Linked DNA regions of Rhinolophus ferrumequinum. The protein of the gene in region 2 purifies or fractionates together with the protein of the main gene of each other region. This does not show direct contact. Links are inferred from orthologs where the notes say so. Each region holds a gene or a part of one and is shown on either strand. Other genes may lie near its edges. The genes, in order: SCAPER, CCNA2, CKS2 and RBL2.

Region 1 (8,477 bases), on a different chromosome or scaffold from region 2:
ATTATTTACAAATATTTTTCTTTAAATATTACGCTGGTGCAAAAGTGGTTTAAAAGGTTAAAAATAATTGCAAAAACCACAATTACTTTTGCACCAACCTAACTTCTGTACACTTTTACTTAAGTAATAAAAAAATTTATATCACTACCATAAATGAAAAATCAGTAATATAAAAAGATGGACATAGCAAAATATTGGCGGTGCTACTGAAACAAATTAAAACTGAGAAACTCTAAACTACAGCAAAACAATGGCCAAGCAAAAGAGAAAAAGTCAGTAAACGGGATGAACACTAGGGCTGACTATGCCCAAGGTGAACAAGTGATGCACTGAAGTCTCACTTGTCTTACTTAGCCAGCCCTGCAGTCCCAGAAAGTCTGTGAAGACACCGAAACTCCCAGAGATAGGAATGTGAAGATTGGCTCAAGTACCAGGAAAGGCCTGCCTCTTTTCTTTATTCAAGTTTGGGTACACAGGTTCTGAAAGGGCAAGAAGTAAATGATAGGCGCAATACAGTGAGAGGCCTGCTACTACACTAGTGTTACTGTAAAATATGCAGGCCATCTAACTGAAGCCAGGACAGCACATCTATGAATTGTTCTCATGATTACCAATGAAATCTAGAAAAATTAGGGTTTGCAATCACAGTTCCTCTCCAATGTTCACGAATCTATCACTTGTGTTTTTGCATTTTCTGAAATATAAGAAAATCTAAGTATTTAACTTTGAGCCTGGTACTTAAAACAAAAATTATCAGTAATTTTTAATGTCTTTGCTAAGTGGAAAATAAGTGTACTACGGTAAAAATAAGTATTTTGAAAAGCAAAATGGACATTTTATAATTCCAACTTGTTTAATGAGGTTGTCAATTCTGATCACTCCTATACAGACTACCATGAATATATCAACCAAGAAGCATTTATTTTCTCCCATGAACCTGGTATGCCTCTTGGAAAATACAAGAACTACCCTGCTTTTCCAATACTATATTAAAAGCAGGCCTACCACCTACTGAAAATTAAATGTTATGTCTGAGATTTGCTTCAAAACAATGGAGAGGGAGCTTTCATAGGACAAAATTGCCCAGGCATAGGTAACCGCTAAAATAGATTGTCACACAGCAATTAATTTTATTCTCTATTTTACCTATCTTCTCAAAATATATAATGAACTTAGTACTTTAAGAAGTTGTCATTAAAAAGTAGTTAATAATTTTATCAAAGCTTCCTGAAATCCTTAGTGTTTCATGACACAGAGGAAAAAGTCTTTCTATAAACCATTTCCTTCTAATAATTTAAGGTTGGCTCCACCAACGGAAAGCAGATCTTTGCTTATGTTTCATAAAACCTACTGCCAAAGCAAAACATGTTTGTGGAAAAGGTTACCATTCCAACATGAAACTGGAAACAGATTTTTATTAATGACTTACTTTAATTTTTGGTATACAAACCATTTGCAGTTTTGACTTCTACAAAGAAATGCCAATCTCACAGTGGATATCAGATTGAACCATTAGAGAATTCTGTTTAACTTCCCACTAAATGCCACCACCACTTTCTATTAGTGTTTAAAGAATCTTCACATGTGATTCCCAAAGAATTTTTTCTTCTACTTTAACACTAGGTTGGACTGTGGTTGAGTATGAATGTGAAAGACAGACTCTCAAGCCCCTTAATGACTTAGCTTTACGACATTCCTGTAAAGTGGTTAAATTAAGGTATTAATCAAGTTAATATCAAATCAAACTTTTATTGGTTAAGAATCTGTGAAGCCCTAGGACAAATATTTGTAAAGTCTATGTTTAAAACACTATCCTTTGGACCCCAAGTCACCAAAGTTATTTATAAATGCATTTATAAAGTAACACTAATGATGCCTCCGTGCATAATTCATCAGGTAGAGTGACCTAAACCACCAACTGGTTAACTATAGAAAATTAAAAAATTGCAGCTCAAGGGAACGGGGAAAAAGAAGGCAAAAAGCCACCATTTGCCGAGAGATTACTATGGGCCAGAAGCAGTTCTAAATGCTTTACAGACACCTCATTTTCTTAGTGTCACCAAATTTATGAGGAGGATATTTTCCCTATTTTACAGACGAGGAAACAAAGGCCCACAAAAACTAAGTAGTCGGCCACTGGATAAGTAATAGAGCCGGGATTCAAACTCAGATCAAACTCACATCTGCTTTCAAAGTCATCATATCATACTTCCTCCCACAAAGACAACTTTCCAAATCATATTAAAAATCTGCTCTTTGATTAAGTAAAATATTAATTCCTTACTTGAAATTATTCAGAGCATTTCAACATGGTGCATAAATCGATCTGCACCCAACACATTTTTGGGAAAAGTCATAGTTAACGGAAGAAAATACAAGACCCAGAACACCAATATAAACGAGAGTGGGATAATGGGCAGACTGCCAGCCTTACGTCCGGAAGCTTAATCGCATATCTGCCATTTACCAGCAAGTGACCGGGAACACGTAATAACGTCTTTCAGCCTCAGTTCCCTCATTCATAAAAAGGGCATAATACCCACCCCATCCTTCTACCTCGGATTGTTTGAGCATGAAATAATTGATGTTGGAAAACTACAGCAAACTATAATTCATAAGGAATTACCGTTCAGTAAGATGACTAGACTGAAGAGCTATTTTCACGGGGAATAACTCGGCACAAACAGAACGAGGAATACAGTCCACCAGCTATAGGACGCTGCTCTGAGGCAGGCGGCCCCACCCCAACGGAGCCACTTGACAGCAGCAGGTGCTGCTCGCGGACCAGTTTGCCGCCTGCATTCTATCGTTCCCGTCACTCCCCGGCGGGGAAAGGCGCGAATGAGGCGCCGGGAAGGGAGCACTGACAGAGGTGCGAGGCCTGGCTTCGGCTCCTCACCCCTGCAGGCCTGTTTCCCCGTGTGTACATGGAGACACCATTCCTGTCGTGTCCCGGGCAGATGGAGGGAAAGCGCGGTCAAGCCCGCTGAGAACAAGCTGACGGGCTAATCACCTGTCAGGTGAGGGGCCGGCAGGGAGGCTCCCCCGGAAAGCCCTCGCACTTTGGACATTCCCTAAGCGTCCACGCGCGCTGCCGGGGTCGCCCTCTGAGGGGCGAGGCAGACCGCGCCCACCCCTTGGCCCTCACAGCCCGGCTGGCGCCTGCTCACCCCCGGTCCGCGGCCTCTTCAGAGGACCCCCGGGCCCTCGCCAGCGGCCGCGGCTCCCCTCCCCCAGCGGCGATTCAGGTCCCTCGCCGCCCACACTCCCAGGTGAGGGGAGAGGGTGAAAGGGCGTACCCCGCAGCCATTTTATCCCCGTGGGCCCGCAAGGCATTCCGCCGCCTGGCGTCCCCGCCCAGGCCCGCCCGGTCTGCAAGACGCGCGCCCCTCGCGGACACTCACCCCGGCCGCCCTGCGCAGCTCGGGCGGTCCCGAGCGTCCCGCCGGGAAAGAGGCGGGGCGGCTGCCGGCGAACCACGTGACCCCAGCCGCGCTGCGCGACGCCGCTGGCGGCCCCGCGCTCCGGCCGCACGCGCGCAGGCGCAGCCCTGTTCGCGACCGGGGCCGCGGAGACGGGAGGCTCGTGCAGCTGCTTCTGGAAAGCTGTTCTCTTTCCTAGGCTGCGCTGGCACTGCCGCCTTTTGCCACACAGCCCGCTATCTCATATTCGGTGCCTTCCCTCTGCCTTTCGTGTCACCACAGTTAGTCCCACAGTTGAAGGACCAAGAGGTCCGCCTCACAAACACCTGGACCTGTGGAAGCGCCTCAAAAAACCCCGTAGGACTACGCCAATCACACCCGCCCCTCGGCCATAAAGCTTTATTCGGCCCCTCTTGTGTGCCAGGCTTGGAGGGCTCAGAGTAGAGACCCAGTAAATGTCTTTTCTCTACTTAAGAGACACACTACACGAACGGAATGCCATAACGATACTTAAGACACAGTTCTGAACAAAAGAGGAAAGAGACTCAACCTAGACCATAATTATCACAAGAACATTCCCCACCATTCTCACCCAGCTGGTGAGCTCACTCTTCACCCTGCCCTCTCCCTTGTCAACCACAGTAGGTGGGAGGGGAAGTCATGGAATCCAATGGAGGGTACCTCACAGAATATGGAGACTGTCAACTGAAGGTCCTGTCACCAACTCAATGCCAACAAGAGTCACCAACTTAAGGTGAGGTGAGAGACTTTACTGGTCGAGGCAGCCCAGGTGAGGAGGCCTCGGTGTGGTGTTGCAGCTCCAGCCTCGTCATGGTACTCTTCCATGGACACTGAAAGTGTGCTCAGCTGAGGCAGAGGTGAAGCGCCCTTATGTAGAGAAGAGTGCTGGGCCTTTCACCTGATCCGTCCATTTCTATGCAAATGGTTCCTCATTGGTCAGAATGGAGCCTCTCTGATTGGTCGGTGAGGATGCAAATGAGGCTATAGCTGCACAGCTCTGGTTGGATGGGGAAAGTCTCAGTCCTATTGGTGGAATTGAGATCTTAGGCACACCCTTATAAAGAATGGACTCAGCGACAGGCAGGAGCACAATGCAAGACTTAGAAAGTCTCAGCCTGAGGCTTTTCGTTGAAAGGCAAGCAGCCTGAGGGACCTCTGCAAACAACGTCTGCTAGGTTCTAGTTATGAATTTGAGGCCGATTAACCACAGGGGTCCTTTCTGGTAGGTACATTCTCGGGGTTGACAAGTCAGAACCATATTGTTGGCTGTGTTCTGGCTCCTCTCCCCTCTTACCTGCTTAGAAAACTTGTTCTTTCAGTAATTTTTTTCACAATACTTAGACCACATATCAGACACTGTTCTAGATACTTGGAGTTAGTAAATAAACTAGATAAAAATTCCTGTGTTCTTGGAACAGGGTGGTGACAGACGATAAATACTGAATGTAACAAATAAATTACATAATATATGATAAGCACCACCACGTGGATACCACATTTCTGCCCCACCACCACTTGGATACCATTCTTTCCAAAGTCACTACGGATATCCCCAGTGCAGATCCTGTGGATATCATCATTATGACCTAAGTTAATTTCTCTGAATTGGTTGACACACTTGCCACCTGGAAACACTCTTTCTTTGCCTTCAATTTTCACTTCCTTGGTCTCCCATCTCCCATCACTCCCTCTTCATCTCTTTTGAAGTCACCTCTTATTTCTCCCACCCTTGAAATGTTGTTGTCCCTCAGGGAGAGACGCAAGCCCTCTCTTTTCCCACTGCACACACTGTTTTGGGGAGATTGCTTCCTTTTATATAACTTTAGACAGCATCTTTGTGCTTTATATTTCCCAGTATATATCTCCAGCCCTGATTCCAGCTCTGAGCTCCAGATTCAAATGGTTGTCTCCACTTGAACCTCTCAAAATCATAGGACCAACGTAAAAACAGTCATTATCTTTCTTACATACATATAAAACAATTCTATTGAGATATAATTTACATACCATACAATTCACCCAATTCAAGTGTACACTTAAGTGATTTTTGGTACATTCAAAGAGTTGTGCAACTATCACTGCTATCAAGTTTTGAACATTTCATCACCCCAAAAAGAAACACCTTACTCATGAACAGTCACTTGGCCATCCTCACAAATTGTCATCATAGTCAGATGTTCATTCTTTACCAAGGCACAGCAGTCCACCTGCAGGTGCTTTTCAAATGGTTACAATAGAGTTTAACTCTATTTCCAAATAAATTTCTCTGTGACAGATGTCATGGCTTCATTCTCTAGTACCCAAGGAGTCTGCACTGTGACTGTCCTACAGAAACTTGCTAGGGTAAATATGTGGGTAATTATAAACAAATATTGATTTAGGAAATAAAGATACTAATATCTTATAGAGCTAATTTTATAGAAAGAATTATAATATATGACAACAAATCAGTAAGGCATGTGGTGGGTAGTAAATTTAAGTAAAGTGTTCTAAGATCTTCACACTGTTCAGGAGGTGGTACATTAATTTACATTAGAGACAGTTTCATAAATCAAAAATGTATGTTGAAATTTGCAAGCTAATAGAGGAAAGAACAGAACAATAAAAAGAAAAGTAATAATTATAAAAAGGCAAGAATAGAGAGAAGAAGGAACGTAGAATGTATTGGACAGATAGAAAAGAAATCATAAGATGATGTGTTTAAAATCAAATCTCTCAGTCACTATATTGAGTAAAAATGGAATAAATACTCCAATTAGAAGGTAAAGATTTTAAGACTAAGTGTAAAACTTCAATTATGTGCTGCTTTCAAGAAATACACCATAAATATGAAAACAGTGAGACTGAAAGTAAGTGTATAGAAAAATGTATAGCTACAAACAGTAAGTGAAAGAACCCTGATGCAGTTATGCTAGCATTAAACAAGGTAGTTGGCTTTTTTCTTTTAATTGTTAAAAATTTAGTTTTCAGTTACCATTGATACACAGTATTATATTAGATTTAGGTGTACAAAACAACATAGTGATTCAACAGTTACATACATCACAAAGTGATCACCCCAAAAAGTCCATTACGTAGCTGACAATGTACACAGTTATTACAATATTATTGACTATATTCCCTTTGCTGTACTTAACATCCTGTGACTATTTTTTTTAATTATAGTTGACATAAGGTAGTTTCTACAATGAAATGCTTTTTTTAAAAAAGTAAAGATAACATTTTATAATGTTAAAATATCAGTCCACCAGGAAGATACAAAAGTCACAAATCTGTATGTCCTCAATAAAATAGCCTCAAAACATTTATGACAACAGTCGACAAAATTAAAGAAATATACAACCATAATAGGATATTATAAAATATAACTCTTAGTAAATGATAAAACAAACAGATAAAATAGCCATTTAGATATAAAAGATCCATACTACACAGTGAACAAATGTTACCTAATTTACATATATAGAAAAGTGCAATCCAGAACTTCAGAATACAGATTTTTTTTTTCCCAGTGCACATGGGTGGGAACTCTTCAGAAGAAGACATGGGCAGCAGAAGTCTGAGGTTTGAGCTCTCTACTAGAATAAGTAACAGATACAACCATATCTTCCTTTCTCCCCTGTACATTTGTGTTTCAATTCCACTCTCCTATTAAGTGAGTGTCAGGTGGGTGTTCATTTAGCCAGAGTATGTGAGATGCCTCTCATTTTGGGTATCATGTGTAAACTGTGAGACTAGAGACCAGGAGTCATGTTTTGGAGGAGACCCCAAGGTGTAGCTTGTTTTACTCAACTCTGCTTTCTTCAGCTATTTGATTGATAGAAGAAGCTTCTTTTGTATCCTATTTTTGCATAAGACATATCTGCCTTAACAAGGATATACAGGTAACCCCCATACAGGTTACATGGCACTTCTATAACCCGTTTTCGCTCTAACATGGTTCGAGAATTGAGGGAAACCCTTGTACAATACGGCATTCTACAACACAGTTTCACTCTACCATGGTTTGAGAATTAGAGAAATTCCCGAACAACATGGAGTGTAGTAAGAGCTTTTAAGAGCAGAAGATATCACATTTGAAATTAGGGAAATCCCCAAACAACACGGAACGTAATAAAAGCTTAGTAGTGATGACAAAAAAACATTACTTAATACATATTAATATGTTATGGTTTTGGTGAAAATTGCTTCAATAAAGATATGTCTCTTAATTATAAAAAACATAATAATATGTTTTTTTAATTTTTGGAAACTCCCGTTTTTGAATTAGTTCTCTGTTTTGTATAACACGGATTCGCATAATATGGCATTTTAGGAACCTAACAACCGTGTTATACAGGGGTAACCTGTATAATGCATACAGAAAACTCTGGAAAGAAACACCAATGTTAATAGCAGTTATTGATAAGAATGGGATCTGACTTTTCTTTTTTCTTATTTGTAAATACCAACTTGCCTTAAAAAAAAAAAACAACAAGCATCACGCATTATTTGTGTGACTCTGTCTTTGCACTATATGGTACTGCAAACCTTTAAAAAAATAAATAAATAAAGACAAACAAACAGAAACCAACCTTACAAGCCCCCATACCTAAGTTGGATACTGAAAGCAAAAAAACAGAGCCTAAATAACTACAAGTCCCTGAACATCATCTTGTGGTGGAATTGCAATGATAGGAACTGTGTTTTCTCTTTGTCACTTGTATCTAAGAACATGTAAGGACTGAAAGCACAGTGTGTCTATAAGGCAATCCTGAGTTTTGTTCCCACAAACACTCCAGAATGTATACATTTAGGAAGTATTCTCTTTCAAAGAAGTCACTCTGCTCATATCAGTTTTGGATGTCCTCTCACAAAAGTGTCTTCAGAGCTGGTTTAGTAATGCCAAAAGAACATTAATTTCATTTAATTTATAGGAAACTCTTGCTTAGTCCACAGTCTTACTCCTCATTTTGCTCCTTCTCTCATTGCCTTTAGCAAAGTTTTATCCCGTCCTCATTTCTAGTCTTTATTTTTACTGTTAAAGTGTTTGAC
Region 2 (7,553 bases):
AAAAGTAAGTATATGTGTCATGGACTCATGATCATTATTTTATTGTGATGGGATTTCTAAAATTTTAAAGACTTTAAAGTTATACTGGATTGAATTTTGAGCATTAAATTGCTTCTGTTTTTAATTTTAAACAAGGAATTGCAGGTTCATGAGGGAAATACAAACTTTCTGATACCAGAATATCGCTGTATTTTAGAAGAGGCAGATCACCTACAGGAAGAATACAAAAAGCAACCTGCACATCTTGAAAGACTCTATGGTTAGTGTACTATTCTAGAATACCTTGCCATATTTCTTTCTTACTGGCTGTTTGTAAAGGATCATGTGAGAGAAGTTGGGCAGAGGAGACAGGCAAAGATTACAGCATCATGAACCTGTGACAGCCAATTTGTTGCTTAGAATATGTATTTTGTCAAGTTAGTTTTAATATTTAGTAGCTTTATTTGTTAAAATGCAAGTAAAATTAAGTGAAATAAGTATAATGCAGTGTGGGGTTATATACATGAAGAAACCTGGTGTGAAATGACTATAATCTATGAAGCATTAAAATTTAGGCTATATTTTACACAAATAATTTTTAGGTTTTTTTGCTATTGTGAAATATCAAAATGCAGCATTTAATATATTTTTAGGCAAAATTTAATAAGGGATATATATATACCATGTCAGTTTACAGTCCAAAACTCATTTTGTGGGGTGGCTGGTTAGCTCAGTTGGTTAGAGCATGGTGCTGATAACACCAAGGTTGCTGGTTCGGTCCCTGCATGGGCTGCTGTGAGCTGCACCCTCCTTTAAAAAAAAAAGCAAAAAAACGAAAAACTCATTTTGCTTTGGTGGTAGAAGTTGGGTATTTCACAAATTATACTGAAAAAGAACGAGAGCAAGAGGAAAGGAAGGACCAGCTTAAGAAAAACTTTATTTTTTGCAATCTTTACATAAGACCTACTGTACATAGCACACTTGTTTATTTATAACATCTTCATAATCAGGTGGGATACTTAATCCTTAAAAAAAGCTCTGCAAGGTAGATGGTGTTACCTCCATTTTTTACACTTTTTAACTGAAATCTGAGAGTAAAGAATTTGTTGTCGCATAGATAAGTAGAGGCAAAGCCTGCAGAACCTCCTCACCCCAAAATGCGTGCTTTTTGCACTATGTCAAGTCTTCTATAGAGTCAATTAGTGTCATCAATCTACATTTATCCTTAAGCCTACCTGATGAATTTCTTTTATTACATCGAGGGACTTGCTCACAAACTGTAATAATAATATCTAATATCTTAGTATTTACTATATGGAAAGCACATGGTTTTTTATCCTTATAGCAGCCTAGAAGATGGGTGGTGCAGACCCACTGTCTCTTATCACCACTTCCAAAATCCAGAAAACTTTGAAAAACAAAGCTGTTTTTCGTAAATCACTTGGCTTGATAAGTGAGTCATAAATCAAATCTGACTTGATCTGAATTAATTTAATGACAAAATCTCACTTAAACTGACATGAAATTATTTATAGTCTTTTTTATTCCACTTAGTGGGATTGTTTATGCATATATTTTGTTGCAGAAACATTACTATGTTTTGTTATCAAATGCTGTCATTCACTCCCCTTCAGAATTATACCATATGTGCTATATTCTTTTTATTATCTTCCTAAACTGAAAAACTCTGAAACATACCTCCCACCCAGGGTTTTGGGTAAATGGATTGACAGCTTGAATCGTTTCCATTGTACATATGAGAGAACTTAAAGGTGAAATAATTTGCCCAGATCTTTGAACCTAGGAAGTCAAATCCCAAGAATGGTCAACATATTGATGGAATATTTTAATATAAATAAACTTGTGAAGAACAGAATTTCTACAGTATGTTGAAATGGTCAGCTTGATGGATAAAACAAACCTTTTGCTGTGATGTTAAATACACCGAGAGCAGTTCAAGACTGGACAGTGTTTGTCTGAATTAATAGCTTGTAACCAATTGTTAAGAGGGTTATTAGCCAACTGATTTATATTTTGAAACTTGCCTTTAAAATTCTCCCAAAATAAATATTTTTTAAAGCATCAATCCTTTCAGGTTTGTGTATAAATAATGGAATTACAGGTGCTTAGAAATAGAGTCTCAAGCAATCATTCACTTTTATTAAGTACTATGTCATTAATTAGAACTAATCAATGACAGGAAATTAACATTTTTTTTTATAGGCATGATCACCGATCTCTTCATAGATAAGTTCAAGTTTAAAGGCACCAATGTGAAAACCAAAGTTCCTCTTTTACTGGAGATTCTGGACAGTTATGACCAAAATGCATTGATTGCTTTCTTTGATGCTGCATGAAATATAAACCAGGTAAAGTTCCAGAGAAGTTGTCTGTTTAAAAGTAAAAGCTAACTATATATACTTTCATTTCAAATATTTTTAAATATTTTCTAAAAATATTTGAGATACAACTTTTTTTTAGTAATGCTATTTCTTTTGACAAATGCAACTTTTTAAAAATAGAGAGCATTTTTATTTTTAAAATACAAGTGGAATGATTATAAGGTATCCTAATGAATTTTTTGCAAGTGAATGTTTTAACTTTTATGATGATAAATAATATTTGGAAAATAAAAATACATTCAAATATTTCACAAGCTCTACCCACACATTATATATATATAAACTGCTTTACAGTTTTCAAAATGTATTTGCATTCGTTTACCTCTTTTGATCTTAACTGTATTATTTTGTCAAATAAGAAAACTGATTCTCACTGAGGTTAAGTGAAGAAGACTGCTCTTATTTTGTAAAGCTGGGACGAGAACCCACATACTAGTGCCTGGTTTGTGTCCTGGTTACCATATATGCTATCAGCCAGTGGAAATAACCTACCAGTTATTTTTCCTAGGAGTAGAGATTGACTTGCAGTTGATTTCACTCTTGCTTGGTAATGAGCATCGTGACCAGTGCTCAGTTTGTAAGGTGCTTAAGTTGGCTCAATGCTATTAATTGTGGTCAAAGAAACAAGCAGAGCTCGCACCGATTGGGGGTGAGGGGGACTTGAATTCCATGTGCTGTAACAAATAGAGCTAGACCAGTGTGCATGTGAATAGTGCACAAATAGTGATGGCTTCTTAGATTTTCCTGCACTACTATCCACTCATTTCCTTTTTATCATGTATGAAAGGAAGTATGACTTTAAGGCTACAGAAGTGTTATTCATTAATCTTAATTCATGTTTATTCATACTCAGAGGAATATTGTATTCAAAGTTTACTTTAAAATGGCATAAAGATTATAATGGAAAATCAGCTATTCTCTATGTTTTTAAGAAGGACACACTCATGAATTTGTCAGAAAACAATCGTGCTTAATTATATACCATTATATTTATTAGTTATGTACAGCCTTGAATATTAAATGTGAAAATCTGTTAAAGGCACTTATCACTAAGAGTTTTATTTTAATAAGGTCACATATTCTACTATATTCAAACAACCTTTTCTAAATGGAACACATAAATATGTCACTAGAATTTCACTGGTGCTTTTTGTTGGCTGCTACATCGTGGGTTAAAATAGATCAGAACTGATGACTAGTTGAATTTCTTGTAGTAATTACTATTTGTTATATGTATCAACAGTAGTTCACGGTGGCACCTCAAATTAATTGCATCTTCATTAGGAACAATAAAAAAGCATCTAAATGGTAGATGACATAATCTGCCATGTATTACATGTTATTACATGAGCAGCGTGTTAAATAATTTATGCATATAATTTAATCCTAACGACAACAGTATGACGTGTAGATATTAACAATGAGCAGATAAGAAAACAGATTCGGAGACATTGAATAACCTTGACCAAGACTACCAGACCAGTTAGATTTTACACTTTGGGAATCAAGTCAGTCAAAGCCTGGAGGTCCCTGGGCTAAAGGCTGGGGCGGCCCACCAATCACGGCTCAGGTTTCACTGGTTAATCCTAGGGGCAGCCCTGAGCCCAGGGACCGCCCCGTGGCTTCATTTAAAGTCACGGTAAAGCCAGGCCCCGCCTCCCGCCCGGCGCAGGCGTTTTTCCTCCCGCCGCCGTCCGACATTGCCCCGCCCAGCCCCTGCTCGGTCGCCTGCGCGGCCGCCTTCACTCGCTTGCGACGCGTCGCCCCGAGTGACGTCACGGGCCCCCGGCCTTGATCATTGGCTCATTTCAATAGTCGCGGGATACTTGAACTGCATGAACAGCCGCCTCTCCGGCGGGCTGCTCGCTTGGTCTCGGTGGTGTCCTAGGCTCTCCACGCCCGGCGGTGCCAGCCTGCGCCTTTCATAGCCTCCTCGGTTCTCAGCGATCCGAGTGGGTGGGTGCGCGGGCGGGCTGGCCCGGGCTGCGGCAGGCGGCTACGGCTGGAGCACTGCTTGGCGCGGCCGGACGGCGGTACCGAGTGCACGCTGCTTGGCGCTGCAGGCTGATCCCGCCGTGTCCTTGGGAGCAGTGATGTTGGGCACTTCTGCGGCCCGCGAGGCGGGCTCGGCGCTGCTAACATTGCAGCAGACGGCGCCCCAAGAGGACCAGGAGAACATCAACCCCGAGAAGGCGTCGCCCGCCCAGCAGCCCCGCACCCGGGCCGGGCTGGCTGTACTGAAGGCCGGGAACCAGCGGGGTCCGGCGCCGCCGCAGAAACCGAAGACGAGACGGGTAAAGAGAAGAGCGATATCTGCAGGAGGGTGGGCCGAGGGTTAGTTTTGCAAAGGTTTAGCGGGCAGAGGAGAGGGGCGAGAGCATCCTCTGGGCTTTTTGTTAGGGAGGCCTGGGCCTGCAATCCCCTCGATCTCTGGTTTTGTGGCGTGTGGGATGCCACCGGCGTAGTTCTCCCATTACTTTCCTGGCCATCAACTGCATTGTGCTGCCTGTCTACTCTCGATTGGGGGTATTTTTCTGTAGATAATGGGGTCAAACCAAGCTCTACAGCATGACTGTGGTCTTTGCCCGCCTCCGTGCCTTTCTCATAGTTTTTAAACCCCCGGCTGGCTCTAGGACCTGGACCTGCTGCCGCCTTCCCACGCGGCTAAGAGGTTACTTCTACCTTAGAAAAGGATATAATAAATACTCTGTTTTTGCTAAATTCCGCCATTTTACCCGATTTGCTCTGTTGCTCCACCCTGGGGTGAAAGTGGTGAAGCAACGCATTTTTGCCATCTCTTTCCTAAACTTGTCACCTTTCAGCCACTCCACCCCTCTTGTGGCCTTGATTAGTTTCTCATAATTCCACTTGGTATGACGCTCTATAACCTTTGCATAAATGCCTGTGACACATTGGAACATTCCTTTTCTTCGACTATTCGAAGTTCGTTGCCTGGATTTTGCCGCAGTAACTTTAATTTTCCTGATAGAGTAGTTGGGAGTAAAGCAGAGGCTGAGACCCAGAAGGGGAAGAAAGCAAAACTTCATTTAATAGGCTGAAAATCAGTATCCGTTTCTTTTTAGGCTGCACCTCTTAAGGATCTTCCTGTAAATGATGAGCATATTATTGTTCCTCCCTGGAAAGCAAACAGTCAACAGCCTGCATTTACCATCCATGTGGATGAAGCAGAAGAAGAGACTCAAAAGAGGCCAGGTGAATCTAAAAAAACAGAGTGTGAAGATGTCCTGGCGTTTAATTCAGCTCTTACTTTACCTGAACCAAGAAAACCACTGGTACCTCTTGATTACCCCATGATGGGCAGTTTTGGTAAGTTTTAATGAACATCTGTATCAAATCGATGTAATCATAATTATTAGATAAGTTGGGTTAATGATATTTCGCATTTTAAGGCATCTTACCTGACCCTTACTACATGAGTTAGGCTTAATGTCACAAGTTTAGAAAGGGTGTTTTATCTCAGACCTCACAACTAGTACATGACCTAGTGACCTACAAAAAAGAAATAAAATCCTAATTGACCAGTGTTCCTTCCAGTACACTGCCAGTCTCATCAATTTAATTAGAGCTCATTGATTTTAATCTGACCCTGGAAATGTTTGCTCTGTTGGGAGAATAGATTTCAATTGTATTCATCAGATTCACTTTGTTCATACCACTTCAGAGATGGGTATGCAGCTTTCCATATTGTGATATCTACTAACATCTCTTGAGCTTTAAAGTTTTGTTTTGTGAAAGCATATGAGCGATCCTGTGATACCAGAGAGGAACACTGTCCTGTGAGTCAGCAGCTGAACCGTGGCTCTTTGTCTTAACCACACATCAGAGTAGCTGCTTTCGACAGTTGTGCCTGCAGTTTGTGCTGCTGCCTAACCATAGGGCTCGAGTCCCTGGACAGCTCACTGAATCTAGTCTTTTAGTTTTATTGATGAGTGGGGGTCTGGGAGGAGCAGGAAAGTCTTTCGGAATTCAAAGAATTTGTGTATTTTTATTTAAAATTTGCAACAAATTTTAGCCTCAAAGTGAACCTTGAAGTGAAAAGAAGAATAGATCTTCTTTGCTTCAAAAGATAACTTAAAATTACAAAAGTGAATCACTTGTTGATTACAGTGTTAATTTGTTTATAGTGCCCATAATAAACCTAAAAACCGAATTTTCTCATTAATACACTTGTTAGCCCTGCTTCCACTTAATTTGTAGGTTGTGCTTTGAATATGTCGAGCTTTGGGATCTGCAAATTCTTAGGGCAAATCCTATGTTATCTCAAAACCTGGACTTTAACTCTGTCCTAACGGAACCATCATGTCACCTGTTCTTGTCTCATGGAAGTTGAATGATACTTCAACATACATAATACATGATCCTCACATTTATTTACCTGTTTGTGGCCTATCAGTATTTTTTCTTGTTAGATAAAGCTAAGTAGACAGAGATACTAAAACCGGAGTGAAATAAATATTCTTTGTACTTTGTCATGGGAAGCCCTTTTTCATCACGTGAAATATATGCTTTCGTGGTGTGGGACTTCCTACAAGGGCAGTGACTTTTTAAATTAAACAGTGAACTTAATCGTACTTTTGAATTCTCCCAGAGTCACCACATGCTATGGACATGTCAATTGTACTGGAAGATGAAAAGCCAGTGAGTGTTAATGAAGTACCAGATTACCACGAGGACATTCACACATACCTCAGGGAAATGGAGGTAAAGGCTCTCTGAATCCACTTTTCATACTGTTAATCAATGTCATGAAATGAAATTGAGAGGGAAATGCTTTGAAGTTTTTTAACTGCCAATGAATTGCTCTAATGCAATACTTAGGTTTCTAGCATATAGCAGCATAGTTAATGATAGAATAATCTAACTGAAATGTTTAAATCTATGCTAAGTAACTTTCTCAACAGATTAAATGTAAGCCTAAAGTGGGTTACATGAAGAAACAGCCAGACATCACCAACAGTATGAGGGCTATCCTCGTGGACTGGTTAGTTGAAGTAGGAGAAGAATATAAACTCCAGAATGAGACGCTGCATTTGGCTGTGAACTACATCGATAGGTTCCTTTCATCCATGTCTGTGTTGAGAGGAAAACTTCAGCTTGTGGGCACTGCTGCTATGCTGTTGGCCTCGTAAGTCAACTTGGGTGAAAAGTGAT
Region 3 (8,085 bases), on a different chromosome or scaffold from region 2:
AGGCAGACTGGGTCAGGTCTGGGAACCAGAGGGTTGTGAAAACCATGGCAAAGAACCTACCTGGGGAGGAGTAAGAGGCAGGGCTTCATGTGAACTGAGGCTTCCAACCCTCAGTACAGGCTCCCTTGTGCCATTTACAAACAGAGCAACTTCACTTACAAAACACAAATTTAAAGATTAAATTGTTAAGAATTTCCAGACATGACAGCAGAGCTTTAAATCCCAAGTGCAGGGTCCTATGTGATTGTACTCACTTTTTAAATCAGCATTATTCTTGCCTAATAGAATAAACTTCATAAAACTTGAAAGTTTGGTAAAATTCTTCTATAAAGCCATTTGGGTCTAGTGTCTTCTTTAGGAGAAGACTTTTAATTACTGCTCCAATTTAATAGATATAGGATTCTTCAGTCTTCTTGTGGTTTCTTGAGCCAGTACAGGAAGACAGTAAAGGCAAAGCACATGAAGGAAAAACAGAGAGACCAAGCAGAAAATAGTAAAATGGCAGACTTAAAGCCTAACATCAATAATTACATTGTGTAAATGGTCTCAAACACCAATTTAAAAACAAAGATTGGAAAAATGGATAAAAAATTTTTACCTAACTATATAATGCCTACAAAAAATTCACTTCAAATATAATGATATAGGTAGGTTAAAGGTAAAATGATGTAAAAAGCTATAGGACACAAAGCCCAATCAAAAGTATGGTGGAATAGCTATATTAATATCAGAGTAGACTTCAAGGCAAAGAAAATTACCAGGACAAATTGGGACATTACATAATGATAAAATATCTATTCACCATGAAGACCTAGCAACCTTACATGCATCGAGTAACAGAGCTACAGAATCCATGAAGCAAAAACTGACAGAACTAAAAGGAGAAGCAGTGTAGGGACTAAGCCCTATGGTACTCTCACATTTATAATAATCAGTTAGAGACCAGGATGGGCCAGTACAGGCATAAGGGACAATCTTGAACATCCTTTCAACAGAACACTAAAGACCTCGTAAGAGCTATGAAATGGCCATTCATGTCAGTGGAATCCCAGAAGGAGAGTGAAAAAGCAAGCTGTAGAATATTTTATAAAGTAAGAATATGCATATATTCTAGTTCTGAGAGTGATACATCTGAATTAGGTATAGGAAAAAGTCTACGTAAATAATATACCATATTGTTTTCAGTGGTTAAATCTGTGATCTGGGGTTGTTGGGTAAGAAGCAAGTAGGCATCTTACTTCTGATATTGTAAATTTCTTTTAAATTTTGTAAGAATAATTTTTATTTCTGTAATTTTCAAACATAAATTGAATATAACATACTAGGAAGAGTGCTCAATAAGTATTTGCTGAATGAGTGAATATGGACCAACTACGGCAATTTTGCAAATGAATTTTGTCACTGCACTAATGGCCTGTTAGTGGGGTAGGAAAGTTCTAGATACTTGTTGGAGATCCATGATAACTCGAGCATGCTCTAATCTTACCAGTTGCCTTTTTACCATGTAAACACCAATCAAAACCTAAACTTCCTGTTTGAAAGGAAGCAGGGCTTGTTTGAAAGACCCACTTCAAAAAAAGCAGAAATCCAATCCCTGTTGGTTCTAGCTTTGAAATTGCAAGTCTGTCCCTTCCTACTCAAACTCATCCTATCAACAGTAATAACTTTGTAACAGGGTGTCCCTGTTAAGGACATTCCTTCCAGTCTATCCTCCACATTCCTCTCATTACCTTTGTCACATCTGATCTGACTGTGCCACTTCCTTGCTGAAAACATTAGCTGGCCCTACGTTAATAAAAATGACCAAATTTCTTAGCAAAAAATCCCTCCCCAGTCTGGCCCAATCCATTATATTGGTTTCCTATTGCTGTTTTGACAAATTACCACAAACTTAGTGGCTTAAAGCAAACACAAATTTATCATCCAATATTTCCAGAGGTCAGAAGTCTGAAATACGTCTTAAACAGGCTAAAATTTAGATGTTAGCAGAGAGGTGTCCTTTCTGGAGACTAGAGGACATCTATCCATTCCTTGCTTTTTCCAGCTTCTAGAGGCTATCTACATTCCTAGGTTCCTGGTGATGCCTCTCTGACTTCTTGTTACAGCTTTCTCTGACCCTCTTGTCTCCCTCTTATAAGGACCCTTGTAATACCATTGGGCCCTCCCAATAATCCAGTATAATCTATCTCAAGATCCTTAACTTAATCACATCTGCAAAGTCCCTTTTGATGTGAATACATTTGTAGGTTCCAGGGATTAGGATGTGGACATCTTTGGGGGCCATTTTTTTGCTTACCACATTCATCCTCCCAGATTTAATTCCCACAACTTTCCTTTCCATGACCTCTATACTCTAAACCAACCCCATTTAGCATTCTGTGCATATAGGAAGTTTCCTCACGCCTTCACCATGACAATCCTTCTATTGGAAAGGCAAGAGGTAGTGTATGATAGATTAAGAGGCCTAAGTCTGGAGTCAGACTGGGCTCATATCTGAGTCTGCCACTTACTTGCTAAATGGATTTGGACAAACTTTTGCTGTTGTTTGACCCTAGATCTAAATACCAGATTATAGGAAAAACAAAGTAAATTATACCATAGGAAGCAATTACCCAAATCCAGACTGTGGAATGTTCCACAGGCAAAAATGACCTGGTTTTTCTGATAAACCTATATTTAAAAAAGGTGGTCTGTCAGCAGAGGAGATTGTATAAAAACTTAAAGAGACAATAACCAAATTCGATGTGTAGGCCCAAGTTTGGATGCGGATCCAAACCAACCAACTATAAAAAAGGCATCTGTGAATCAGGGAAATCAATCTAAAACAGGTGTCAGAGAATGATGAAGAATTATTAAGTGTAATGACATGGTACTAAATGTATATTTTAAATTTTTTCTTGAGATGTACACCATAAAGACAGATATATATACAGAAGTATTATTTCAGAGTAAAATGGCATTATATTTGGGATATCTTTAAAGTTATTCTAGCAAAAAAAAAAAAAGAGAGAGGAATAGATAAAACAAGATGGGCAAAACGTTTATTGCTGAAGTTGAGTGACTGGTACATGGGAGTTGATTATACTATTGTATTTTTGTGTGTTTGAAATTTTCCACAATACATCTCTGTAAAAATACAGAGGGTGCCAAAAAATGTATACACATTTTAAGAAAGGAAAAAAACTATTAAAATTGTAATACTCGATGTATGCTGGTAACAAAAAATGAATACAAGTTATGTGTATATATATTTTTTGGCACCCCTGGTGTATGTCCTAGGAAACTTTTTTCCCAGGTTCTGCCAGACAGTTAGTGATTTCCTTATCCATCTACCTTAGCAGTTTATTCGTATTTTTACCAGCACATAATCACACCTGATTATTTGGGCATACATTACTATCACTTACTACTTAAAACTTATTGCTCATCATGTGCAAGAGACTCTACTATGTCCTGGGTAGAGCAGTGAATGAAAGACATGCCCTCATCACCGGGTTATGTAGGGGGGGCAGACAAAACCCCAGCAAGCATGCAACAAAGGACCAGTGGGTTGGAAACTCCAAAGACGCTAAGGAGGGACAGGAACGGGGAAAGCGGGGACTTCTTGAGCACAGGGTATAAGGAAGCCGTTTCAGGAGACTGATCCTTAACCTGAGAGCTGAAGGTGAAGGGCCACCGGGTGTTGGGTTGGGGGAGGGTAGCGGGCCCGTCTATGCTCTCACCTGTACTATGCTGCAACTAACACTGAATCAAGATCGTTACTACAAACATAACACATTCTCATTTAGGGAAATGTGAAAAATACAAAAAAGGTCACTTTTAATTGTCATCTAAAAAGAACCACTTACATCTTGGCATATTTCCTTCCAGTAACTTTATTTTACATGTGCATGTATTTTAAACTAGGGCTCAATACTAAGAGCCAAAAAGTTTTAAAAACCACTTTTAATCCCTTTGTCCGGTAGGAAACGTTATTATTTTAATAATCGTTTTTACATTTTGCATTAAGAAAAGCACGCGTATACACATGCTTATCTAGAGTTGTTATGAATTATGCTCAAGGCGTGGGAATACATGTTTTACCTCACGTCAGGCCTCTAGTGCTCAGCCCCGGCCCTATCGTTCACGCAGCACTCTTGCAGGGTTCTGAAGAGTTCCAGGCGGAACAACCTCGGCTTCCTCACGTTCCTACTCTCCCCAAAAAGCTGGGTGCCCTCAAAGTTCCCAAACCTTGGCTTTCCCTATCTTCTACAGACCTAGGACGCGGAACCCGGGAAATGCGCCCCGAGCCTGCGCCTGCGCACAAGCGGCCTCGCGGCGGGCAGCCCCGCCCTGGCATCGCCAAACACCGCGATATCTCATCCGTCCCACAAGTTCGTCGCCCTAACGGCTCTGCAGACCTGGAAAGTTCTAAACCCCCTGCACCCTTTCCTGGTCACGCCCCTTACGTCAGAGAGCTCCCCGCCTCCACGCCATGCCAATCATTCACTTCTTCCCTCGGGCAACCTCGCAACAAGCCACTGAGTGGCTGATCTTGGGAGTGAACGTCGCGGAGCAGCGGCAACGATAGGCTGGAAGCCGGCCCCGCCTTCCCGCAGTTTGCACAAAAGGTGATTGGTCGGCTTCTTTGTCCAATCAGCGGCGGGCTGTCGGATTCAAACCAGGATCGTTAGGCCTGCGGTCTGTTGGTTGCAGTTGAGTCGTTGCTTTGGCCGGACGCACACCTTCCCTCAGCTGCGCCCGCTCTTCCTGCCCGGTCGCTCCCCTTCCGCGCCGCCTACCTGCCGGCAGGATGGCCCACAAGCAGATCTACTACTCAGACAAGTACTTCGACGAGCACTACGAGTACCGGTAAGTGGGCCAGTGGGCGGGCTTCCTCAGCCGCTGCCCAGGGAGGGCCGGTGTTCGTGTGGGGGCCGGAGGTCGGGTCAAGGTCGAGGCCGGGAGTTGGAGTAGGGGCCTTGTGAGGATGGAAGCGTGTCGGGTTGTGGTCGGGGCCAGAGCGCGCCCCTTATTTCGCCTTTACGGGCACAGCCAGCCTCCCCTCTTTGTTCCGTCTGTGAGAAGGATGAGGCAGGGGCGGAGATGGGGGCCACTTCTGGTGACGAGTTGCTACCTTAAAGGGAACAGGCGGAAGGACCGAAGCGGACCCGGGTCCTCCGCCACGTCCAGTCGTCACTCGGGCTCTGGGCGGGCCAGTGGCCGACATCCAGCGGCGAGAGCCCTACTCCACCCGTGCCGCGGTGCCTAAGAACTTGCGAGCTAGTTGGCATTCTCGAAGTAGTTCCTCTCTCCCAGTCACTGTGGTGTGGAGGGTGGGAGAAACACTTTTTCTCCTTGCTTTTGAAGTTAGTGATGCTAAAAATGACTTTGAGGGGGAAACCCCGAAAACTTCGCTTTTTGGAATTTTTAAATGTTTATTGCGTATGGTGATTTGGGTAGGCGTTTGTGCGTTAACCATGATGACTTAAGGGCATTATCAAAGGGGTTTCACATTTAAGACTAAGTTGAGAACTCGTGTGGACTTTGGGCATTTGTGTGTGTGTGTGTGTGTGTGTCTCAGTATATACTGGCCAGATCTTCGCTTTGAGGAATTTTTGGTTTCTGAGTCGTGATGTGCTGCACTAGAACGTAGTTGCTAAAATTAATCTGTAAAATTAACAACTTGGATTGTGGGAGGGAAGGACCACTTCGTTTATTGGCCTTATTGTCTGCAGGAGACTTCCTTGGGGCGTGGCTTCAAAGACCAATCCTACCCTGTTCTCCTGGATGGTGACTAGGAAGCTGCATTTGGGGCCAAGCAGTGACCTTGTTTCTGCCTGCTGTCCTTTCAAGTTAGATTTCCAAGAATGCTATTTGAGGTAGAAAGGGCATAGTGTTTGCTCACTCTCTCTCTCTCCCTCTCTCTTCTTGTTGTATTGGAAGTCTGTATTCTCAGGAGAAAAACTGATGCAGTTTTACAGATTAGTAATACGTGCATTGTTTCATATTCTTAGCTAGAAAAATCTTGTTTTTCTGGATATAGATAAATTTGAAGTCGATCATCTTATTTTTATATAGTAACTACATGGTACAGTTTCAATCCTGTAATATATTGGCATAATGTTCAATTATGTGACATCGACCAAGAGCCCAGCTGGGGATATCCAATAGTGGACAGAATGTAAACTGTATTACGTTTCTAAAATATGGAAAAAATATTAATATTCTGAAACACATCTGGCTCTAGTAGATTAGGATACTTTTTAGGACTTCTGGCAGTTTCATTTTTTATTGTCAATATACTAACAATTATCGATGAGCACTTAAGTAGACTGCGCTGTCAAAATTTTAGCCTAACTGGTTTGTGTATACTAATGTGTAGAAGAAAATCCTGTCGTATCTGAAGTGATATATTCTAATCTATTATTAATTAAAGATAATGGTCCTTCTTGACCAAGCCACTTGCCTTACAGAAACAGCACAGTGATTAATCTCCAGAGATACTTTTAAAGGCAAGTTGATACTGATAATAAATCACTGAGGTGTGAGTCTAGGGTGGTTTGTATATGGTGGTGCAACATGCAATGTGAATTTCAAAAGTATTTATTTTTGCTAGTGTGCAGTTGCCTACATCTTTGTGTTTTGTAAATGCAAACTTAATTTCCTATTCCCTTTACTTAGGTTATTTTGTAAATGAACTTCAAAACTTAGTTCTGTTAAATACCGTCTGAAACAAGTATTATAGGGTTGTATGGATTTAAATTTATAAAAATTTTATGTTAGTATTTTTTTTTAAAAAAATCCTATCCACAACTGTTGTCTGCCCTCCTAATTGCATCTTTGTTGTAGCTCCTTTATATTGGCCTATATGTAGCTGTTTATATTGGCCTTTACCCTCCTCCCCTCCGTGACAAGCCCATGGTACTGAAATAAACACTTAGTTTTGGAAATAATTTTTCTTACATGTAGTTAGAAAACTATCTCCATGCAGTTAAATACAGGTAGAATTTCTATGTGAGCTTGAAGCTACTTATAAATTTTTCTTTTATAATCAAACTTGGATGAAGGTGAGCCTGTTCCCATGCTTTATGGAGAAGGTAGGGGTTGTGACTTCTATCTAAATAACATGTTGGTGCATTTATGTAGGTATACATAATAGTACAAGTTTAGTTAGCATTACATTTCTCTTTGAGACTAATCAACAATGTGATAGAAGTAAGATTATAGGTTATTTGCAGAGCCTTAAAAGGAGATGTTAAAGCAGCAATCCAAGAACGAATAAGGTAGCTGGTAAGTATTACTAAGAATCACCATGCAGTTCACTGGAATTGGTGAAATTTTAACCAGGATAGTATGCATAATTTGACTTGGCCTCATGGCAATCTACTTGCATAGCACAATTCTTCTAAGGTTTATTTTTGTTCTACATAAAATTGATACTTAACTAACCAGCCACAGATTGGCTTAGTTGCTGACAGATGAGTACTTACAATGGGTTCACTTTTCCTGTGTGCCAGAAAATAACCAGTTATACCTTTCTCACTTCTAGCCAACTGACTCACAGGTAGATATCCTATACTGGTCAAAAAAATTGGTTGAATATGTATGACTGTACAAAATTAGTACTACCTGGAAATGGTAAAAATAGGGCTGGGAGTTGTGATTTTTATAAAGATCTTTATATGTAATAAGGGGTGTACGGATTTGTCTTTGAGAATGTAACAAAGCTACAATTGTACATATTCTTGATGTTTTGACATTGAAGACTATCGCATACCTTCCTCAAAAAACTTAAGTTTTGGGTATAGGTCTAACTTAACTGGAAAACTAAAGGTCTGTGTCAGGTAGCAGGTACATATATATGTGTGATTAGTGTTTGTTTTTTATTCATTCTGAACAGAGTATAAAGCAACTTCTGCAGTATACAAGTAGATACAAGATTTGTATCTACTACAAATCTACAATGTTGAGTAATAGGAAACCCTAATTAACTAAAAAATTAGATATTTTTTTTCTCCTTATGTAAAAGGCTACATGAAGCTGGGATGACAGGTCTATAATCAGGGACTATCCTCAATTTACAATAGCTTCTGTGGTCTTGGA
Region 4 (7,680 bases), on a different chromosome or scaffold from region 2:
CAAATGGCAGGATTTCCATCTTTACTGTGGCTGAAAAAATATATATATATCCACATACCACATTTTCTTTATCCATTCATCTATTGATGAATACTTTGTTTCCATGTCTTGGCCATTGTAAATAATGCTGCCGTGAACATAGGGGTGCAAACATCTTTTCAAGATAGTGATTGTGTTTCCCAGGATAAATACCCAGGAGTGGTTTTGCTGGATCATATGGTAGGTCTATTTTTAATTTTTTGAGGAACCTCCATACTGTTTTCCATAGTGGCTGCGCCAGTTTACACCCTACTAAGAGTGCACAAGTGTTTTCTTTTCTCCACATCCTCACCAACACTTGTTATCGCTTGTATTTTTTGTAAGAGCCATTCTAACTGGTGTGAGGTGATACGTCACTGTAGTTTTGATTTGCATTTCCCTGATGATTAATAATGTTGAGCACCTTTTCATTCATATGTTGGCTGTAGTATGTCTTCTTTGGAAAAATGTTTATTCAGAATGCACATTTTACAATCAGGTTGTTTTGCTTAATTTTGTTCTATTGAGTTGTATGAATTTTTTGTATATTTTGTATATTAACCCCTTATCAGATACATGATTTGCAAATATTTTCTCCCATGCTGTATGTTGCCTTTTCATTTTGTTGATAGTTTTCTTTGCTGTACAGAAAATTTTTAGTTTGATATAGTCCAAGTTGTTCATTTTAGCTTTTGTTACCTTTGCTTTTGGTGTCAAATCCAAAAATTAATTGCCAAGACTGATGTCAAGGAGCTTGCCACCTATGCTCTGGGACTTGTATGGTTTCAGGTCTTATGTTCAAGTTTTTAATCCATTTTGAGTTGATTTTTGTGTATGGTGCATGATAAGGGTCCGGCTTCATTCTTTTGCATGTGGCTGTCCAGTTTTCCCAACACCATTTATGGAAGACTGTCTTTTCCCCATTGTATATTCTTGGCTTCTTTCTTGTAAATTAATTGGCCATATGTGTATGGGTTTATGTCCTCTCTATTATGTTGCAGTGATCTATTTGTCTTGTTTTTAATGCCAATACCATACTGTTTTGATTATTATATCTTTGTAATATAGTTTCAAACCAGGAAGTGTGATGCCTCCAGCTTTGTTCTTCTTTCTCAAGATTGCTTTGGCTATTCAGGGTCTTTTGTGGTCAATATTGATTTCATGGACTCAATCATTAATGTCCATGCCCTTCATTCCAAGCAAGGCCCTTCTCACAGCCGATGGGGCCTTGACACACATTTCCCACCACCGCAGATACTTAGTTTGCAAGTTCCCCTAAAAAGAGAAGGGAGAAAAGGGGCTACCAACAAACAGGTCATATGGTGACCCCAGTCTAAAGAAACATCTTATAGCCTGAATGCAAGAAGGAAAAGAAAATGGACAAAAATGTTTTAAAATGTAGCAATAAAAAGCAGTTGAGGGTGTGTAGCCCAATATCTACTGTCATAGGCCGTAATTGTTTATGACAGAAAAGGCTCTAAGGGCATGTTGTTTTTATTCCAGAGTACCAAGGCTTCCCTATGTGTTAAGTAAAGCTAATTGTTTGTAGTTTATACTGTGGGTTGAATTTTTAGCACAACGGATTCTCATTCAAAATAAGCAGAGCTGGTAGGAGGGGTCGACCTGCGGGGCTCATAGTGTCAGGCCATATTGGACAAGAATAGCTGAGTGGAATTAATCACAAAATGACGGTTAACTCAGGTCTCAACAAGAGACTTAAAATACCAGGTAAAATGTAACTTGGCCTCAGCCCTGCTTGGGTAGATAGCATCCTCAAGTGGAAATTCAAAACAAATGAACAGTTTTTGCTAGTAGCAACACATGTAAAAATATATTTATGGGAGACCCATATAGTATTGTAAACTCAGTTGAAACCACATTCTCAATAATAGCCATTTGATAACTCAGTCTGGAAGGAATTGAACACTGCCTAATGATCACAGGGAAATAAATTTAAATTTCAATGTGTCTGGGAATGCAAGATGATAGACCCACTTTCAAAGAAATTTGGCAGTGTCTTATAAAGTTCAACATTTACCACACAACCAGCAATGCCAATCCGTCTTAGCCGGTTTGGGCGCCTTCTCTGCGTGCCCATGGTGGCCCTTTCTCAGTCCCTGAGTGTGGCCTTCTAAGGCCACCAATCCTATTGGATTAGAGCCCCACACTTATGACCTCATTTAACTTCAGTTACCTACTAAAAGTCCTATCGCTGAATGCAGTCACACTGGGGGGTAGTTTTAACATGAATTTTGGAGGGACACACATTGGGCCCATAGCACACTCCTAGGTATTTACCCAAGAGTAATGAAAATTTCTGTCATGAAAACATGCACATGAATGTTAAAGGAGCTTTTCTCATAATCACCAAACACTGGAAACAATCCAGATGTTTTCAACAATCTTTAGGGGCTTTAAAAAAAGAAAATCCAATAATTACTTAAAGGCTCAAATAAAATTTAAACTTAGGAAAGAACTAGAAATTAGGAGCGACACCGACAATGAACTTTGCCAGAAAGGCCCTTGCTATTATCCTTATTTTTTTAGATAAAAACCAACTGTTGAATGGATAAGTGTTGGGACATTCATATAAATATGATTTGCCAATAGAAAGGAACAACTGACACAAGCAACTTGGATGGATCTGAAAGGCATTATGCCAAGTTGAAAAAAGCTAGAATCAAAGGCTACATAGTGTATGATTACATTGTATGACATTTTGGAAAAGAGGGAAAACTATGGGGACAGAAAACTGATCAGTGATTGCCTGGGGATGTGTGAGGAGGGTTTACTACAAAAGGGCACTAGGAAAATTTTAGGGTGATGGAAATGTTCTATATCTTGATTGACTATATTAATTTTGACTATTGGTCAAAATTCATAGAACTGGACGCTTAAAAGAGTGAATTTTACCATATGCAGATTAATATCAGTGAGTTTTACAAAAGAACAAACAGAAGGATACTTTGTACATACATTTTTGATGAAAGGAAATATGAAAGATCAAGAAAGGACTTTCAAGGACAAAAGATTAGGATACAATTTTGTTAGGATAGAACAGGAGTGTGAGGTAAAGGAGAAAAAGGAATGATATCAAATTGCTCATTGTTAAACGAAAGTTTTGTAAATGTACTTTTTAAATGCATTATAGTATCAAAGTGCTATGACATTTAGAGTCCATTGGCTTGGAAAATATTGATAGTGACAAGCAAAGAATATTTTAATAAGACATTTGATGGTTTATGACCAATTTTACTTCAATTACATTAATTACATTAAATTTTACTAAAAAGGGTAGAGTTTTACCTCAATAAAGAATTTAAATTTTGGGCCAGCCCGGTGGCTCGGGGTTAGAGCTCCATGCTCCTATCTCCAAAGGCTGCCGGTTTGATTCCCACATGGGCCAGTGGGCTCTCAACCACAAGGTTGCCAGTTCAATTCCTCGAAAAGAATTTAAGTTTTACTTCTAGTAAAATGTTGATGATGGTATCCAAAATAAGCGATATGTCATTCTTTAAAAGTTTAGTATCCCCAGCCCAAATATAAGGAAAGTAGCAAAATTTCTTATCAACGTATTTACAAATACTTATAAAGCAGTTGTGTCCCACCTCTGTTCTTGCCCTTGATCATCTTAACTCAGCACTGAGAAAACAAATCCAACTCTACCGTGAATTTCAAGGCAGGGTGTACAAATAGGATTTCATCGTCTCAAAATTGTTCGTGAGGCATCTGTTACCTTTCCTTAGTTCCTTCTCTCCTACCTCCAAGTTTCCTCCCCCTCTTCTCTCCTGCTCCTATTAAAGCTTCCCTAAACTGCTTTTGTCCCAGTATTTCTTTTCCTCGGTTTACATAGTATCCCACTGAGCAATGACTTACGGCTTATCAAGCATGAAAATGTTTTATAATATGCCCATTTATAAATCTTAGAGGATTGGCAATAAAGTGATTCAAGTCTATAGATATGAAAATAAAGCAAAACAAAAATAAAGCAATAAAGTTAAGCCAACTGGGTGACTGAGGATAGTACACTCAATGTCACGGTGAACGTATATTGGCCCTATTGGGGGAGGGCTTTTAAAAAAGAAAATCCAATAATTACTTAAAGGCTCAAATAAAATTTAAACTTAGGAAAGAACTAGAAATTAGGGTAGACACCGACAATGAACTTTGCCAGAAAGGCCCTTGCTATTAACCTTATTTCTTTGATAAAAACACCAAGGTGATGAGTATTCTTTCTGGGGACACCTTGGATATTAAACCTTCACGTGTCAATTAACGTTTCTTGGACGTTTTCTCTTCAGTAGAGTCCTGCTGAGTGGTCTCAGGATGGGGAGGTACTTAAAATGTAGAAAAGCCGCTTTTATTTCATCCCAAAGAATACTACGAAAGCAGATTTTTTTTGGGGGGGGGTGGGGAATGATTTTTGACCCCCTTGGCTCTCCGGCCCAGACTACGTTTCCCAGCAGGCCATGCTCAGAACTACGGGTGCCTACGTGAAGTCAAGCGCCGTTAGCGGCGGCGCAGTCGCCGCATAAGTGGCCGACGGGCGGGCGCTTCGCGGTTTGAATGGCTACGGGCCCGGGCCCTCAGCTCACCTGAGGACCGGCCGCCCAGCGGTGCGCGATGCCATCGGGAGGCGACCAGTCGCCGCCGCCGCCGCCACCCCCTCCGGCGGCGGGAGCCTCGGAAGAGGAGGAGGACGACGACGGCGATGCTGAAGACGCCGCGCAGCCGGCCCGGTCGCCGACTCCTCAGACCCAGCAGCGGTTCCACGAGCTATGCAGCCGCCTCAACATGGACGAGGCGGCGCGGGCCGAGGCCTGGGACAGCTACCGGAGCATGAGCGAGAGCTACACGCTGGAGGTGAGCCCCGGGGAGGAGGCGAGGGGCTTTCCGGGCCTAGTCGCCGTGCTCGCCGCGAGAACGGGGCCCCCTTCTTACCCCGGGTCGGGCTCCTCGCCGGGACTCTCCGGCGGGTCCCTGGTCTCCGGGTCTCCAAACTGGAGACGGATGGGAATCCTCCCTGTGCACCTTAGTCGTGGAAACCTGGCGATTGAAAGGCTCTTGGTGTTCCCAAAGGGGAACCCTGTCTTGCTGTTCTTCCCTTTCGGGTTGCGAATGGGGAACACCTCTTGCCCTAACGTAGCACCGCGAGGGTTACAAAAGGACAACTACCTGGTCGGCAGAACGAACAGGTGCACTTGTCAAGCCCGGGCGGAGAAGGGACGGACGTTGTCGGTGTCCGCACCGAGATTAACCCTTTAGGGTTTCTAGCCTTCCCCTTCTGCTCTTTTTCTCCTGCACCGCATCGCCTTAGTCCAGGCGTTGCATCTGTTTGTTTGAGGAAACGCGTTAAGTTTCCGCCTGGGTTCGCGTATGTGTCAACGGGAGAAATCTCCGGGGCGAAGGAAACGGGCTTTCTGCCTCCCTGGGTGTAGACACACGCCCCCATTTGTCACTAGGAAATGAGGACGGCGACGACCTTGAGCACCTTTCGGTCCCCCAGACAGACATTGCACAGGACTCTCGTAGTCGCTGTGATGTAGGCATGTTATGGCCCTTTCTTCAGACGGGGCTTGCAGATGAGAAAAATGGTCTTGCTAGCCAGTGAGACTCAACTCTGTAGGCACCTCCCCTTTATGGGCCAATGGGAAGTGACACGGAAGTCTGGATTGTTTATCAGCTGTTTCATTGCGTGTGTGTGTGTGGCGTTCAAACCGGAAGCCACATGATTTTCTTAGGTTGTTATACGGGTTGTGGAAAGAGTAGGGCAGATAGGCTCAGAATGGGACGGCCTAATCAAGGTATTTATAATAGGATAGTTCTGCCTTTGTGTCACTAAGGTTATTTTTATTTATTTTTGCCTTAATAGGATTTTCATTCATTTCCTTCTCCCTATTGTTGTATCTACACAAGAAGAAACAAAAGCTAGTAATGTAGTAGCTTTAGAGCCTTAAGTGACTTTGGACAATTTACTTAACTACCCCCAAACTCAATTCTGTGATATGTAAATTTGAGAGATTTGTATCTACCTCACAGAGCCGTCTGAAGGTTAAATAAGGTAATATGTAGTTTCTGGCACATAAAGCACTCAGGGACAGTGCTGTCCAGTCTGCAAAGCTCTTTCATGTACTTAGGTGATCTGGCTGAATAGGCCATGTTCCTATTTATTTCTCAGTGGTTCCTGTGGTCAGGAAAAGAGAAGGACTCTTTTTTTGGTGATGGGCATTAAGTGCCTCCAAATAAGCTCTTACTTTACCCTCAGGATAATCCTGTAAATTAGGTAGAACAAGCGTTATCTCCATACGGTTGAGGTATTTCAACTCATAGAGGTTAAAGTCCTATGAAGTCCAGTGTTATATAAGCAAGTGACAAATAATAGATGCTTCGTAAATAATTTTTGAAAACATGTTTGATCACTCAATTTCTGGCCTGTGGAGCTTATAGTTGGGTACGCTATAAGATAATATTATATCAGATTACTGTATTACATAATATATTACATATTACAGAATACTGGTTACAGAGTTTTATCTTTTGATTTCTTGTATTGTCTTTGCTTCATACTTGTAACTCATTCAATTCTCACAGTCCTCAGATAAGAAAATTGAGCTTCTGTGACTGTTAAGTCATTTGCTCAAGGTATTCTACTCCCATATTGGGACTCCCAAAGCCCAGGTCCTGTGAGAGAGTCAAGTGGAATCTGTATTGCCTTTTATGATCTCGGGAAGTTACATAGCATCACTTTCGCCTGTGCTATTGGTTGAGACAGTTCAAAATGAGGGAATAGAGACTCCTGCCTCTCAGTGGAAGAATGGCAGTCACATTAGAAGAGCACATGGGATAGGGCCATCATTAAAAATACAATTCCCCACACATATATAAATATTCCTTTCTATTTAAACATAAGATTTTTGTGTTGAAATATATATAGCTCATTAGCTAACCATCAATTTTCTTTTACAGGGAAATGATCTTCATTGGTTAGCATGTGCCTTGTATGTGGCTTGCAGAAAATCTGTGCCAACTGTAAGCAAAGGGACAGTTGAAGGAAACTATGTATCTTTAACGAGAATCCTGCGATGTTCAGAGCAGAGGTAACTATGTTAGAGTTTAAAAAGTAGAATGCGATTAATATAAAAGCCCATAGACCACAGTAAGAATTATCTTTGTTCATCATTTTCTGAGCATTTGTACTTATGGCGTGCTGAACTTTGACACTAAGTCATGGCTCTCCTTTACCACATCTCAGTTAGTATCCATTATGTTTTACTTATTTGGTGAAAAATACTTAAATTTTAATATATTAGGCACTTGTATGAAGAGTTTACTATTAAAGGTTGTGGCTCATCATTCTATAATATTGGAGAATTCTGAATAAGGATATTGAAAAACTTTAGGAAATGTTCTACATTGAAAAGATTAAAAAACTATTATATGGTATTAAATTTAGAACTACACGCACAGGACTTGTATCTTAATATATATGGAATGTGTAAATACTTCTAAGTTTCCTGTTTGGGGTATAAGCAACACTATTATAATCAGTTACAGAAAGGGTCAAATAATGCTATAAAGAGGCAAAAATTGCTTTTACTATCTGTTGTGTAATTGAATTGATTACATTTATTATTTGTGACTTTTGGGTGAATTTTCTCTATG

Evidence for each region.
Region 1: the proteins of CCNA2 (region 2) and SCAPER purify together in Homo sapiens (affinity purification with mass spectrometry; 3 studies listed by BioGRID and IntAct, counting the BioPlex papers as one, with this or other methods). This does not show direct contact. The link is inferred for Rhinolophus ferrumequinum from reciprocal best matches to the Homo sapiens genes CCNA2 and SCAPER.
Region 3: the proteins of CCNA2 (region 2) and CKS2 purify together in Homo sapiens (affinity purification with mass spectrometry; 3 studies listed by BioGRID and IntAct, counting the BioPlex papers as one, with this or other methods). This does not show direct contact. The link is inferred for Rhinolophus ferrumequinum from reciprocal best matches to the Homo sapiens genes CCNA2 and CKS2.
Region 4: the proteins of CCNA2 (region 2) and RBL2 purify together in Homo sapiens (affinity purification with mass spectrometry; 3 studies listed by BioGRID and IntAct, counting the BioPlex papers as one, with this or other methods). This does not show direct contact. The link is inferred for Rhinolophus ferrumequinum from reciprocal best matches to the Homo sapiens genes CCNA2 and RBL2.

What each region holds. Positions count from the first base shown.
Region 1 is NC_046311.1:39,397-47,873, reverse strand, and holds the start of SCAPER (S phase cyclin A-associated protein in the endoplasmic reticulum), read right to left. Parts: upstream 3,499-8,477; 5' UTR 3,405-3,498; intron 1-3,404. UniProt on the Homo sapiens protein: CCNA2/CDK2 regulatory protein that transiently maintains CCNA2 in the cytoplasm.
Region 2 is NC_046301.1:4,678,743-4,686,295, reverse strand, and holds the start of CCNA2 (cyclin-A2), read left to right. Parts: upstream 1-4,207; 5' UTR 4,208-4,474; coding exon 4,475-4,675; intron 4,676-5,464; coding exon 5,465-5,708; intron 5,709-6,990; coding exon 6,991-7,103; intron 7,104-7,303; coding exon 7,304-7,527; intron 7,528-7,553. Other genes in the region: BBS7 (Bardet-Biedl syndrome 7 protein), read left to right, coding at 1-4, 136-259, 2,203-2,336. UniProt on the Homo sapiens protein: Cyclin which controls both the G1/S and the G2/M transition phases of the cell cycle. Functions through the formation of specific serine/threonine protein kinase holoenzyme complexes with the cyclin-dependent protein kinases CDK1 or CDK2.
Region 3 is NC_046295.1:4,649,401-4,657,485, reverse strand, and holds the start of CKS2 (cyclin-dependent kinases regulatory subunit 2), read left to right. Parts: upstream 1-4,638; 5' UTR 4,639-4,792; coding exon 4,793-4,851; intron 4,852-8,085. UniProt on the Homo sapiens protein: Binds to the catalytic subunit of the cyclin dependent kinases and is essential for their biological function.
Region 4 is NC_046298.1:7,167,039-7,174,718, forward strand, and holds the start of RBL2 (retinoblastoma-like protein 2), read left to right. Parts: upstream 1-4,521; 5' UTR 4,522-4,641; coding exon 4,642-4,881; intron 4,882-6,984; coding exon 6,985-7,115; intron 7,116-7,680. UniProt on the Homo sapiens protein: Key regulator of entry into cell division. Directly involved in heterochromatin formation by maintaining overall chromatin structure and, in particular, that of constitutive heterochromatin by stabilizing histone methylation.